Coturnix japonica: one gene and its partners. The protein of the gene in region 1 binds, or shares a complex with, the protein of each later gene. Links are inferred from orthologs where the notes say so. Each region holds a gene or a part of one and is shown on either strand. Other genes may lie near its edges. The genes, in order: GABBR2, KCTD16 and guanine nucleotide-binding protein G(i) subunit alpha-1.

Evidence for each region.
Region 2: the proteins of GABBR2 (region 1) and KCTD16 are in contact, whole or in part, in a crystal structure (PDB 6M8R), measured with the Homo sapiens proteins. The link is inferred for Coturnix japonica from reciprocal best matches to the Homo sapiens genes GABBR2 and KCTD16. Residues at the interface, in NP_005449.5 of Homo sapiens: Ile882, Asn883, Ile888, Gln889, Arg891, Leu892, Ser893, Leu894, Gln895, Leu896, Pro897, Ile898, Leu899; in NP_001357415.1 of Homo sapiens: Asn30, Gly32, Gly33, Gln34, Val35, Tyr36, Asp64, Leu65, Ala66, Lys67, Asp68, Ser69, Arg72, Phe74, Gly79, Phe80, Arg83.
Region 3: the proteins of GABBR2 (region 1) and guanine nucleotide-binding protein G(i) subunit alpha-1 are in contact, whole or in part, in a cryo-EM structure (PDB 7EB2), measured with the Homo sapiens proteins. The link is inferred for Coturnix japonica from reciprocal best matches to the Homo sapiens genes GABBR2 and GNAI1. Residues at the interface, in NP_005449.5 of Homo sapiens: Lys510, Lys513, Met514, Ser516, Arg577, Ile581, Lys586, Met587, Lys588, Lys590, Ile591, Lys593; in NP_002060.4 of Homo sapiens: Arg24, Glu28, Ala31, Arg32, Asp193, Thr219, Ile343, Asn347, Leu348, Asp350, Cys351, Gly352, Leu353, Phe354.

The regions. Positions count from the first base shown.
Region 1 is NC_029517.1:43,384,128-43,388,515, forward strand, and holds the start of GABBR2 (gamma-aminobutyric acid type B receptor subunit 2), read right to left. Parts: upstream 2,932-4,388; 5' UTR 2,675-2,931; coding exon 2,360-2,674; intron 1-2,359. UniProt on the Homo sapiens protein: Component of a heterodimeric G-protein coupled receptor for GABA, formed by GABBR1 and GABBR2. Within the heterodimeric GABA receptor, only GABBR1 seems to bind agonists, while GABBR2 mediates coupling to G proteins.
Region 2 is NC_029528.1:688,995-693,139, forward strand, and holds the start of KCTD16 (BTB/POZ domain-containing protein KCTD16), read right to left. Parts: upstream 2,982-4,145; 5' UTR 2,894-2,981; intron 2,875-2,893; exon of another isoform or gene 1,896-2,874; intron 1,630-1,895; 5' UTR 1,328-1,629; coding exon 496-1,327; intron 1-495. UniProt on the Homo sapiens protein: Auxiliary subunit of GABA-B receptors that determine the pharmacology and kinetics of the receptor response. Increases agonist potency and markedly alter the G-protein signaling of the receptors by accelerating onset and promoting desensitization.
Region 3 is NC_029516.1:10,240,701-10,244,986, forward strand, and holds the start of guanine nucleotide-binding protein G(i) subunit alpha-1, read right to left. Parts: upstream 2,801-4,286; 5' UTR 2,438-2,800; coding exon 2,320-2,437; intron 1-2,319. UniProt on the Homo sapiens protein: Guanine nucleotide-binding proteins (G proteins) function as transducers downstream of G protein-coupled receptors (GPCRs) in numerous signaling cascades.

The DNA of each region.
Region 1 (4,388 bases):
AGGTCGTGCTCCAGACACATTCAACCATCAACAGTACTCAAGTCAGAAGCCTCCATGTTGGCATATACTTGCTGTAACCTGTGGTCTTATTTTGCACTGAAGATATCATTCACAGAATCATAGCTGCTTGAGATAACGGATTAAGGACTGTAGTGAACTCTGAGCTTCCTTCAGCTTAACTGTGTTGATAAGCGCAAGGAATGCCACTCCAGTGCTCCAGGGTTAGAGACAGAGAGCAGCCTAAGTTGGGAAGCCCACTGCAGTTCTGATGGTGGTCAGAAATACGGGCATCCCTGTGCTCCACTGTACAGAAACATCAAGCAAACAATATGCAGTTCAACTTTACCAGGAAGCTGCCTCGGTAATGAAAAGAGATCCGATTTGTTTGTCTTCATAATACTTTCATGATTATTTTTTGTGAGCTTTTTATTGAAGTGTTACGTAAAGCTGCAACACAAACATCGGTTCATAGCAGAGGGTGATTATGGAACTCCATGAGGGAGTTTCTGAATCACTGCCATGCATTGCCTAAATCACTGCCATGCATTTCCTAAATCACTGACGTGCATTTCACCAGGCTCTATATCTACACAACAAACACCTCTCCCTCTGTTCAAAAACCCCTGGTGCTCAGGGTCCCACATTCTCTCTCCAAGAGGAGCCAATGTCAAAGCACCCGCGAGGTCCTGAAGGGAAGCAGGTCTGTGGTTACGTAAGGACAAGGATCCAGGCCCTCTGGGTGCATCCATCTATCAGCAGTCTGGGAACAGGCTGAGCACCGAGCGGGCAGCAGGAGGGAGCAGCCCTTCTGCTTACCGTAAGACATAAGGTAATGGCTGAGCACAACGAAAAAGTTTGTGCTGCCATTACGTATTTATAGGCTGTTCCAACCATTAGGCTGTTCCATTACGGTGCAGTCAATCTAACACTCCTCACAAACACTCGTTTATTTACTTGTCACTATTAAGCGTGCAATAATGACCCGACCGCTCTCCAAATACATACATTTGCCTGATTTAGCATTCCATAACCATCCATTTATTAATTGCTTAAAAGCCTCCGGATGCACACAGCACACGGGCAGCAGGATCCTGATGCTTCAAACCCCCCCTGAAGTACCGAACAGTAAAAATGCAATTTTTAAGGAACCGGTGCACATTCCACAGCCAATCAGACAATTCTTCTGGTTGCTCTGTTCATCTTAACGCTGACTACCCTGCTCAGAACCCAAAATCTCTATGAACAACTGCAAAATATTTTGATTGCAATCAGGTGCAGCCCCTCATTGATTGGGATGTGTGCATAGAAGGAAGGTTCCTGCTTCTCCACTTCCTGTGTACTCATTATTTCGCAACGATCCCATCCGAGGGGTGGATTTAAACAGAATAATGTAATGAACACAGGACTGGGAGAACCGTGATCTTGTTTCTCCCCAATACCACGTTTTATGAAACAGGTAATGCCATTCCGAAAATCCCCCATAATTCTTTTCATTCTGATTGCAGAGGTTCGTTTTTTAAGGAGACGAACGGCAGCTCGGGGCCGCTCCTGGCGCAGCATTCCGGCCTTGTGCACCCAACAGCACCCAAACGACACACTCAGCGCTACCACCCCAAGCCGTCCGAAACAACGCCACGACAAATGCGTGTCGGTGAAGGGCAGCTGCCCCACAGAGAGAGATTTCTGGGGCGACCCTATGGACGGAGAGCCAGCACAGCCCGGTATCGCCGCTCTGCAACCGGAGAGGGGCTCCCGCAGCACAACGGGGGCTCTCAGCATCCATCCCCGCGCCGCACCGGGGGCTGTCGTGGAAAGGAACGCGGCTCGATTCACGCGGGGCGGCTGCCACCTTGAGGGCAGGCTCCGCATCGAGCCGGCATCTCCCTCCGTTCGGCGAAGTTGCGACCCAAACGGAGCGCGTTGGAGAGCCGGGTACCAAGTTCCCCACGCCTCCGCCTCCCGCCCGCATTCCTTCCGCACCCCGAACCGCACCGGGCCGCACCGGGACAGGGCGGCCCTCAAGCATCCCGCGGGCAGAGGCACCGCAGATTTAACTCTTTCCGCAGGTCTCCACCGCCTCGCTGCGAGCCGCCCTCCGGAGCCCGCGTCCTGCACGAGGAAGGGGAGGCATCCGGATGGAGACGGAGCGGCCGGCGCGCATCTGTTGCTAGAAGCTGAGAGCGGCCGGTTCTGGTCGGGGCCCCGCGGGCAGAACATCTCCGGAACGGCTCCGCGTCCTCAGCCGCTTCTCCCCGCGCATCTACCGGCGGCGCCGCAGCCCCCGCGTCCGCGCTGCCCTTGCGCCCCGGTCCCGCAGCGCCCCGGGACTGGGCGGCGGCGCGTCCCCGGCGGCCCCTACCTCCGTGTCGTAGAGGCGCAGGTCCAGGAAATAGGGGTTGAGCAGGGACTCGTTGCGGATCTGATCCATGGCCAGCTGCACGGCGGGCAGCACCCCCCGACCGATCCTGCTCTTCTGGTCCTCCTCGGACTGGCTGAGCGGCATCAAACCCATGATGGAGATCGGCGTGGTGGCGTTGGGGGGCATCCCGGCCGCCCCCCGGGTGCTGCCCCGCGACCAGCCCCAGCCCGGCGGCACCCAGCCTAGGCACAGGAGCAGCAGCAGCATGGCAGGGCTGGAGGTGGCGGCGGCCGGGCTCCGCACAGAGGGATGCATGCTGCTGGATGGGGGGAGGAGGAGGAGGAGGAGGAGGAGAGCTGGGGAGGGGGGGCGGACGGAGCGGCGGGAGGGAGCCGAGCCCCGCTCAGCCCGGGCACATCCCCCGGCGGCGGGAGGGAAAGCAACGCCTCCCGCTTCCAAGGGAGCCTCGGGGTCTCCTCTCTCTCCCCCCTCCGCCCCCCCTCCCTTTTCTCTCCTCTCCCCTGGCAATAATCCTTCTGGCAATGGCGCCTACTCCTTCCCAGGTCTGCCAGCTGCAGCCACCAGAAGCGATAAATAAATAAATAACCCCCCCACCCCCCCCCTCCCCTCCGCTTTCCCTGCACCCTCCTCCTCTTCCTCCTCTTCTCCTCCCCTCCTCTCCCGGCGGCGGAGCAGGGAGCGGGACCTGCCTCTGCCTCCCCGCTGCGCTCCGCTCGGGGAGGAACGGCACCTCTCGGGCGGGGACGGGGGGGCGGGAGGGAGAGAAGGGGGGAGCGAGAAGAAGCCCTCACTGAACACCTCCTTCTTCCTCCAAAAGGAAAACACACATATATATATAGGATGCTCCGGTAGAATGAAAAAAAAAAAGAAAGAAGGAGGGGGGTTGGTGTGTGGGGGGGGAACGGTGCGGGCCGGGGGTGCAGAGCCCTAATGCCGCATTCTCATAGCCGGGGCAACCCCGCGAGAAGGGAGGTGCCGCCCTTCGGCTCCGATGCGGGAAGGGCCGGGGGACGGTGCAAGGCACGCGGCGAGCGCGTACCCCCCCGCCCCCGCTCCAGCTCAGCACGCAGACACGCGCCCACGCCGGCTCGGCACCTCCGCCACCGCACACGCACACGCACAAATGCACACACACACACACACACACACGGAGCCTGGGCCATGGCAACTCCGCAGCGCGCTCACAGGAGCGCGGCGTTCTGCAAAACCAGGTTATTTCTGGGTTATCCTTTGCTCTCCCCGCAGGATTCCCGCAGCCCGGCAGCGCATAGTGGCAGCGCCGTGCCCTGATCCCAGTACGGCCCCCCTGCACAGCGAGGAGCCCCGTAGAGCCGGGAGAGACCCGGTGTGCGTCCCGCTGGCAGCCCTGCCAAACCCGACCCGGGGCATCTCCCATTCTATAGATACAAAACCGGGATGAGGGGCGGATGAAGAAACTGGGATTGTTTAGTAGGAGAACAGCAGGCTCAGGGGACACCTCACTGCTCTCTACAACGGCCTGAAAGGAGGCCTCTTCTCGCAGGTAACAGCAATAGGATGAGAGGGAACAGCCTCAGATTGTACCAGGGGTCAATTCAGGTTGAATATTAGGGAAAAAATTTCTTCTCTCTTCTACACCCCAGGGAAGTGGTGGAGTTACTGTCCCTGGAGGTATACAGGAACCCTGTGGATGTAGCACTGAAGGACGTGGTCAGCGGGCATGGGTTGGTGGTTGGACTGGATGATCTTAGTGGTCTTTTTCAACCTTTATGATTCTATGAAGGCCAACCTAATATATCCCATATACAATGGTGGCGTCTATGCCATAAATCGGGAAGAATCTTTATAGTTTAATAAATTCTAAGATCATAATAAGGTGACCTTGGGCCAAAAGCCCTTAACCTGTCACCCCGTAACTCTTCTTTCTTTGCAGCCCTTCCTGTGGAATGACATCCAACAGAGCTGACCTAAAGACATCAGTTTAGAAGGGGTCATCACCTTTCTCAATAAATTAATTCAGTCATTAGTG
Region 2 (4,145 bases), on another chromosome or scaffold:
AGGCTCCCTGTTGAAAAGCAGACAGGGGGACAGGATTTTGTTTTCCCTTCCCTGCATGTAAGTGTGTCAGGCTTGTTGACAGATGGTTGACTATTATCAAGCAGATATTACCTTTGTAAATTGAATTCAATGTGAAGGTTTTCTGTAATTAAATCTGCAGTGTGTTTGCATGGCTTACATTGCATCCTACTTGCACTCAGGAAGTGTGCAGGCCATCAGATTTGCACAGGCAGAGATACAGCATCCTTCAGGCACAGGGATAGGGTGCTTTTGGCAGTCTGTGCTGCCACCTAGCCAAGACCAAGCCACTGAGTTCAGTCTGGCCTTACAGTTCGGAAGCTTAAACTGAAGCCTATCACCTCATCAAAATAAAGCTCCGATCTGCAGCAGATACAAAGAAATCTGCACTTCTCATGCTTTGCTAACTGTGCACAGTCAGAAGAGACAGGCTTCAAACAGGCAGCTGTGTTTCCCTCAGAAATGTCTTGTACTTACGGTAGAAGACATATTCAGTGTAGCTGGACCAGACCTTGTCATCAGTGTACTGATTGACAAAGGATGCCGTCACAGAGGAGTTGCAGGCCACCATGTGGAATCCACACTCAGATAACATGTCAAAAGCCCTCTCCAGATGCTTGAACTTGAGATAAAACCTGGAGGTGTACCTTTCTGGAGCTCTGTCTGGATCTCTGCTTTCATTCAAACTTTCTCCAAAGACCTCTTTGACCAAAGCGATCCTTCCACAAACCAAAATCCTTGGGACCCTCCTGAATTTGGCATCTGCTTGGCTCTCCCTGCCAATAGTGCATGAACCCCGGTACCCAATGGTAATGAATCCCCACTTTCGATCTGATGGTAAGAGAGATGGAGGGGGGCATATTCTCGTGTCGCTGCCCTGGGAGACCTCTTCGTAGTCACTGTGGCAATAATCATCGGGGCTTTGCTTGCTGTCATCAGGAGTCAGGATTTTGACCAAGTCCGGGAGCTGGAAATACTCAGCCTCCCTCTTGAGCCTTCCCTTTTCAGGGAAGTGGTCAGGCAGAACAACTTGCTTGTCCCTGAGATAGTCCAGAATATAGCGAAAAAGGAAACCATCTCTGTCAATGAAGAATCTTCCCTTGGAGTCCTTGGCCAGATCGTTGGCTGTGTCTCTTTTTGGGGTGAACATTTTCCACAGCAAGGAGTGAGGGGTGCCAACCAAGGTGGAGTGGCGAGTGAAGTAAACCTGGCCACCCACGTTTAGCTCCACAACCTCTGGGAAGGATTGCAGCCCAGACCCCTGCTCTCGGGCAGGGAGGTAAGTCCTGCAGTTGCCACTTAGAGCCATTGTACTTTAAAAAAGAAAACAGTAGCACGAAGGATAGTCAGTCACATCAAAGTCTAGAATAAGGCTCCAGTATTAAGGTGAAACGGGGGAAAGGGGAAGCAAGGAAAGAAAAAAAATCCAAAAGGTATGTCTAAAAAAATATCTGAATTGTCCATAAGTAGCAATGTGATAGAAGTGTCTTATATCCTAAGCCACTGGGGCTGGAGAAAAATCCCTTCGTGAAACACAATCACATCATTAGATCTTCCAACAAAGCCATCAAAATCAAGGTCAAGCCCAGCCTATGGTAATTCACTGGTCTTCTAAAAGGGAAAACAAAATAAGATTCAAATTAACCTCTTAAGCATGCCAGCAATTGCAATAGAGAAAAACAACTCATTCTAGAAAGCTGTTAGCCTTCCTGCTAAATATATCTAATTTTCCCAAGTTCTCCCCTTCTTTTTCAGAAACACTAATCAATGAAAGGACTCAGTGTGACCCTGCAGTTTATAGAATACAACGTAATTTATCTTCAAACAAACATCTAATTTAAACATGCAGAAGAGGCAATGAGAACATCAACTCTTACCTTGGTTACAAATAATGCATAGCTCTTGGAAAGGAAAGCAAAATTTCAAGACACTCAGAACACACATACAGGCACATAGAGTCCAGATAGTATCAGATCCGATCCCAGCAAGGGACAGCAAAGGCAAGAAAAGTGCTCTTAACAACATTCGTGTAGATCTCGAGAGTTAAACCGAGTCATGAAAAAAGTTAACCACGGCAGGTGACCAGAAAACAAGACACACAGCACAAAGGGGGGAGGGGAAAAGCACAAAAATCCCAAATAAATCCGATCGGGTTCCTTGAGAGTGGGGCCAAGGGAGAGCGGGGGAACGCGCTGCGGGGGACGCTGCCTCAGATGACTTGCAGAAACCCCGCAGCCCGCGCTAAGGGCTGAAAGGCTCCAGCGACTCCCGCGGCGGCAGCCGCCCGGGCAGCGCGGAACGCGGCGCTCCCATGTCCCCGCCGGGGCCGCCCGCTGTGCCGCTCCGCTCCCGCGCTCTGCCGCGCCGCCCTGCTCGGATCCGCTCCGCTCAGAGGCGCGGGGACGGGAGCGCAGAGGGCGACGCCGATTGCATCATCCGAAAGGAGTCGGGCCGGGACCGGGCCGGAACCGGAGACGGCGCCAGCAGCCGGGGCAGCGCCAGCACCGCGGACAGCGCCGGGCCGCGCTCCGCCGAGCGGGTTGGCCGCCCCGGGGCGCCGCCGCCGCAGCCCTCAGCGCCCGAGTTCGGGTAAAGTTCCTCCCGCTCCGCTCCTCTCGGCAGCTCCGGGCGGCAGCTCCCGGCCCCTGCCCGCCCGCCGACACGTGCCTGTCCGCGGCTCCGCGCAGGCGAGGCGGTGATTTCACCCAGCGACGCAGGCGGGCAGGGTGGGAGCAGCCGGTGGGTGGGCGCTCCCGGCACGCTCGCCCGTGGCTCTCCGGCAGGAGTGCGGTTTTATCGTGCCGCTCGCGCTCCTCATCTCCCCAGCAGTGACCCAGAAAGGGCAGAAGCCAGTAACGAGGCGCTGTGCATTTACCGCAGGGACGGAAAGGAGGAGGTGGGGCGCCTCGGCAGGAGCGCTGCCGCACTCACTTCGTTTGCCGGACCGTGATGGGGACGGGGGCAGGACGGGGGCAGGGGCTCCCGCCGCGCCCCGTTCTCCTCTCGGCCGTGGCCGTGCTGGCACCGCCACCTCGCGTCCAGTCCTGGCCCTGCTCCCGGTTCTTCCCAAGCGCTGTTACCAGGGCAAACGCTGCGGGAAAGGCGAGATGAAAAACGCCGGAAAAAAATGGGCTTTGGGAGCACCGAGCTGCCGCTGCGGGGCGTGGGCTGCGGCCACCAGCTGGGCACCGTGGGCTCTGCTCAGCGTGAACTGCTTTGTCTCGGGTTAAACAAATACGGCATGCAACATAAAATGAAATGAAGTGACCGGGTTGCTCAGCTAGTGCACAAAATGGGCACCGCAGCGTGTAGTCGATTTCACACATAATTGCACATGATCGTCTGAAAAGTGTCAGAAAAAGTATCAGAAAAAGTATCAGAAAAGTTCAGCGTTGTGTATTTTGGCAGACATCAGTTCTCATTAAAATGGGGATACTCGGAATGATGAATGTATGATAAAAAGCCCTTCATTCACACATCGAAGAAAACCCAGAGAGGAAGTTTTAGAGTCAAATCTTTGTGCAGGGAAGTTACTGAGCTGTTGGTCTCTGCTGGCTGCACTGAAGTTGCAGATACTTCAGGAGGAACGAAGGAAGGGAGGGACTGAGGAGGACATTAACTTAAAGAGTACAGTTCTATAGCCCGAGGGAGGAAAGCACTGATCTGTGTGCTTACAAGCTTCTCAATTTCAAGCCTGAGAGTCAAGTAGTATATCAAACCCTCGCTTTTGACCTTAATCAATTCATTAATTCAGAAGCAGCTGTGAGGCTCTTGAACCAAGGTTCTCTCTTACTGCTGGACCCGACTTCTAATTTTCAAACCAGCAGAGTATGGGACTGCTGCAGGGATGTACATTATATCTCAGAAAAAGACAGTTTTGTACATCTTCACTTGCTGTTCCCACACACCAGCTGAAGAACTTGTCAAGGGAACTGTAAAGCTTACAATGAGGATTTAAAAGGGTTGGTGTGAGGACATGTTAACTTAGATGCCTTCACCATGTATTTAAGTCTAGTAGAGTCAAAGTATACAGGCTTTAACATCTGCATGACCAGGTAGATGAAATGATGGGCTTCCTTTAGGATTTAAACTCATTAGTGCTGCCTTGGTTGAAAGTAAGGAGTATT
Region 3 (4,286 bases), on another chromosome or scaffold:
TTGCCATCAGATAAAGCATTCACACAACATTTAGGACAGCTAACACAGGAAATTGAACAGAAAAGCTTCCATTAGGATCTGAAATGTATAAATGTATCCATAGATGTATACACAAAGCCTTACTCTCAGCTCTGGCCCTGAAAGTTCCTGATCTGTTCATTTTCACTTTTTAACAGTTGAATGGAAAACGCTACACTGAGTTGAGTTGTGAGAAAACACATGTATTTGAGCATTAGTTTGGATTAGGTTGGATGTTAGGGGGAAGTTCTTCACTAGGAGAGCGGTTAGGCCCTGGAACAGGCTGCCCAGGGAGGTTGTGGATGCCCCGTCCTTGGAGCTGTTCAAGACCAGGTTGGACGGGGCCCTGGGCAACCTGATCTAGTAAAGGTGTATGTTTGGTGGCCCTGCCAGGCAGGGGGGTTGGAACTACATGATCCTTGAGGTCCCTTCCAACCTGGGTCATTCTGTGATTCTGTGATTAGTTTCATATCCTAAGATTTCAGGAGACTGCAGCAGAAAACAATTCCCCCAAAAGCTGATCTATATCAGATAGAATTTATATAAAAAGCTACTATCATATGAATTTGTATCCAAGAATATTAAGCTACTGTAAACAGCTCATTCTCAAGTTTAACGCAACTTTTATAGAAGACTTTATCCATACTCACGGAAAAGCATAACTACTACCTATGTAGTATTTAAAGCTCAGTAGAGAACAGCAGAACTCTGAAAAACCATTTCTAATGACTTGTCAGAGTACACACAGAGCAGTACTCTGTGACTCTTGAAAAAGGACATTTTCTGCAGTGCATTACTATTGATCAGAGGATAACCTTTCCACACAACAGACTCCAGGCTTATGAATTTGTACAGGACTAAGCACACCAACAGCCTAACACTTTCTAGAAAGCAAACCGAAAAGCTTTTTTTCCCCTCATATGCAGAACTTTAAGCCTATACACACGTTTTCAGAAGTTTGCTTTACCTATACTAGGCTTGTTTCGTTTCTTCACAGACACACAGAAGGAAGTGCTTCAGTTCCCTGGACCTGTCTGGAGCTATTTTACAAGCTACAAGCTTTACAAGGAACAGATAGAAGTTAATTAATTAAGAGTTCTACTACAGCAAGATTTGCACTAAATAGAATGCTTAAGGAAGCACTCCATGAAAACAAATATATGGAGAAGAAAAAATTGGGTACTACTTTATAAACAGAAACCTTCCTTGGAACTGTAGCTTCTGGATGAGCAGCACAAGGAAAACTGAAACTCCATGTTTATTTATTTATTTTTAATTATTTTTTAATTATGGGTTAAAAGGATCCAGAGCAGTTCAGCTATAAAGCATAACACAAAACTCCCCGTAACATCAATACATCATATGCCTTGCAGGATTCAGCTGTCCACAGCACGTACAGTAGAGTTAGAGCTGCACAAAGACATTACTAATTAGAGATTTCTTCCTCTTTCATAGTAATTTTTAGCAGTAATTTTACTTCATTTATCTTTATAGACAAACATCACTTAAAATGAACAAAGCTGCCAGTTTTAAGAACTTGGGAGTAAAATCAAGAAGACTTGGTAGCACGGAACCACAGAATGGCTTGGGTTAGAAGGGACTTTGAAGGCCATCCAGTGCCAATGCCCTGCCTTGTGCAGGACTGATGCTCATCAGATCAGGACCCAGGGCCCCATCCAATCCCACCCCGAGCACATCCTGAGGTTGGGAATCCATTGCTTCTCCGTGCAGCTCCTCATCACCCTATTCCAGTGATCCCCAGTATTACACACTTTATAACCCCACCAAGGTTTGACCTTATGTTGTAAAAGTTCGGCAGCAGAAACAACTTCCAAAAGAAAACGAAGCGAGAAGTCAGACGGCGCCTCGCGTTGCTTTGATGTTTTTCCCACTTCACTCTTACAGCAACAGTTCAGAAGGGGATGTTCCACACGAAACAAACATCCCCCAACCTGAAATCCCCTTAAGCCCTTCCTCGGAACCGAAGTACCCAGAACCCACATCAAAAGTACAAGATCTCTCTCCCTCCCCTTGGGGAGCCGGGGCCTTATCTAAACAAAGCCCCAACAGCTCGGAACCGCTCCCCGGCCCGGCCCGCAGCCCCGCCGCGCCCACCTGCGCTCCCCCTCCCTCCTCCCCCAAGGATCCACGAGCGGATTCCGAGGATCTACGAGCGGCCTTCCCACCCCACCACCCGCCGGTCCCGGGGGAGCGATGCTGGGGGACCTCCGCGGTCCCCCGCCCCCGGTTCGGCCCTCACAGCTCCGCATCTCGGCCAGACCGGGGGGGGCCCACCCTTACCCAGCAGGAGCAGCTTCACCTCCCTGGCCGCTTTCTCGCCGTCCTCTCGCAGGTTCCTGTCGATCATCTTGCTCCTCTCCACCGCCGCCTTGTCCTCGGCGCTCAGCGTGCAGCCCATCTCGGCAGGGGCTGCGTACCTCGCCGCGGGGAGAAGCGGGGAGCGGAGAGCTCCGGAGAGGCGTAAAAAAGGAGGGGGGGGAGCAGAGCCCGCCCGCTTTCTTTCTCCCTCCTTCCCCACCTGAAGCGCAAGTAAAGGGAAGAGCGGAGCAAAAAGAAGAAAAAAAAAACAAACCAAAACAAAAAACCCACAAATTTGTACAAAAAAACACCACAACGAAACAGGGGGATGTTTCCCTCGATCCGTCCCCGGGGATGCGCTGCCCCTTCCTCGACTCTGCTGTACACCACCCCCGTCTCTCCGCTGCTCGCGGCGGCGCGCACAGCCCACAACGCCGCGGGAGGGAGAGAAAGGGGGCGTGCGCGTGCACGCGAGGGAGGGCGGGGCGGGCGGCAGTGCGCCTGCGCGCAGCATCGAGCGGCCGGAGCGAACCTCAGGCTGCCGTGCGTGTGTGTGACGTCAGCGCCCAGCTCCGCACACCTGGCGGCGGGCGGGGGGTAAGGGCGGGGATGGTGCTGAGGGCTTGAATTTAAATAGCTCTTAGCGGGAGGTTCCATTGCGTTGAGGAGGGAACGCCCAGTGAAGGCTGTGCTAATGCCTATAGGGTTTGTTCCGGAGACTGAGAGCCGCCTGTGGTAGGGTGACCGACTTTCTTAGGCATAGTCTCACAGAATCACAGAATGACCCCGGTTGGAAGGGACCTCAAGGATCATGTAGTTCCAACCCCCCTGCCTGGCAGGGCCACCAAACATACACCTTTACTAGATCAGGTTGCCCAGGGCCCCGTCCAACCTGGTCTTGAACACCTCCAATGACGGGGCATCCACAACCTCCATGGGCAGCCTGTTCCAGGGCTTAACCACTCTCCTAGTGAAGAACTTCCCCCTAACATCCAACCTAAATCTTCCCTCTTTTAACTTAAAACCATTTCCCCGTGTCCTGCTATTGTCAGCCCTTTCAAAGCGTTTACTCCCCTCCTGGGAGTAAGTTCCCGTCAGGTATTGAAAGGCTGCAATGAGGTCACCCCGCAACCTTCTCTTCTCCAGGCTGAACAAACCCAACTCCCTCAGCCTGTCCTCATAGGGGAGGTGCTCCAGCCCCCTGATCATCTGGTAGCCTATGGCTGCTAATATCTCCACCTGCTATTTGTCGCCTCCTGCTGCCTCACTGCTGACAGCCATCATCCGACCTCCCCTCCTTCGTACCGCGGCAGAGGCCTTGGGAGCAGCTGGTGTGATATGATGTGATGTCGGGAGGGTGCTCGGCTTTGTGCTCAGGGGTGACCCCTGCGACTCCTTCTTGTCACCATGTAAACCCAGTACAGTACCACAGAACCTGTATGAGACAAAACTTTCTGAGTTGAAGGATAAGTTTCAGTCAGAACGTCACATGCAAGCACAAGACAAGCATGTTACATTCAGGTTTGTCTTCTGTAGTGAGCCTTTAAGGTTACTTATTTTTCTCACGGAATGGGCTCTAAAAGTAGAGCATTTGACAGCACAGGTGATGTTTTATGGCAGAAAAGATGCCATACAGAGAAACCAAGACTGGCTTGAAAAGTAGGGCCACAAGATCTTCTGTGAAGAACAGTTGAGGGAGCAGGGCTTGTTCAGACTAGAAAAGTCAAGGCTTTGGGGAGACCTAACTGCTGTATTCCAGTACTGGATGGGAGCTTATCAGCAGGGGCAAAATTATTATCTTTTTTTACTCAGTTTGATTGTAATAGAACAAGAGGGAATGGCTTTAAATTAAAAGACAGACATTTAGGCTAGATGTTAGGAAGAAATTACTTACTCAGAAGGTGGTGAGGCTACTAAACAGTTTTGGGATAGTTTCCTGATTTAGGAGT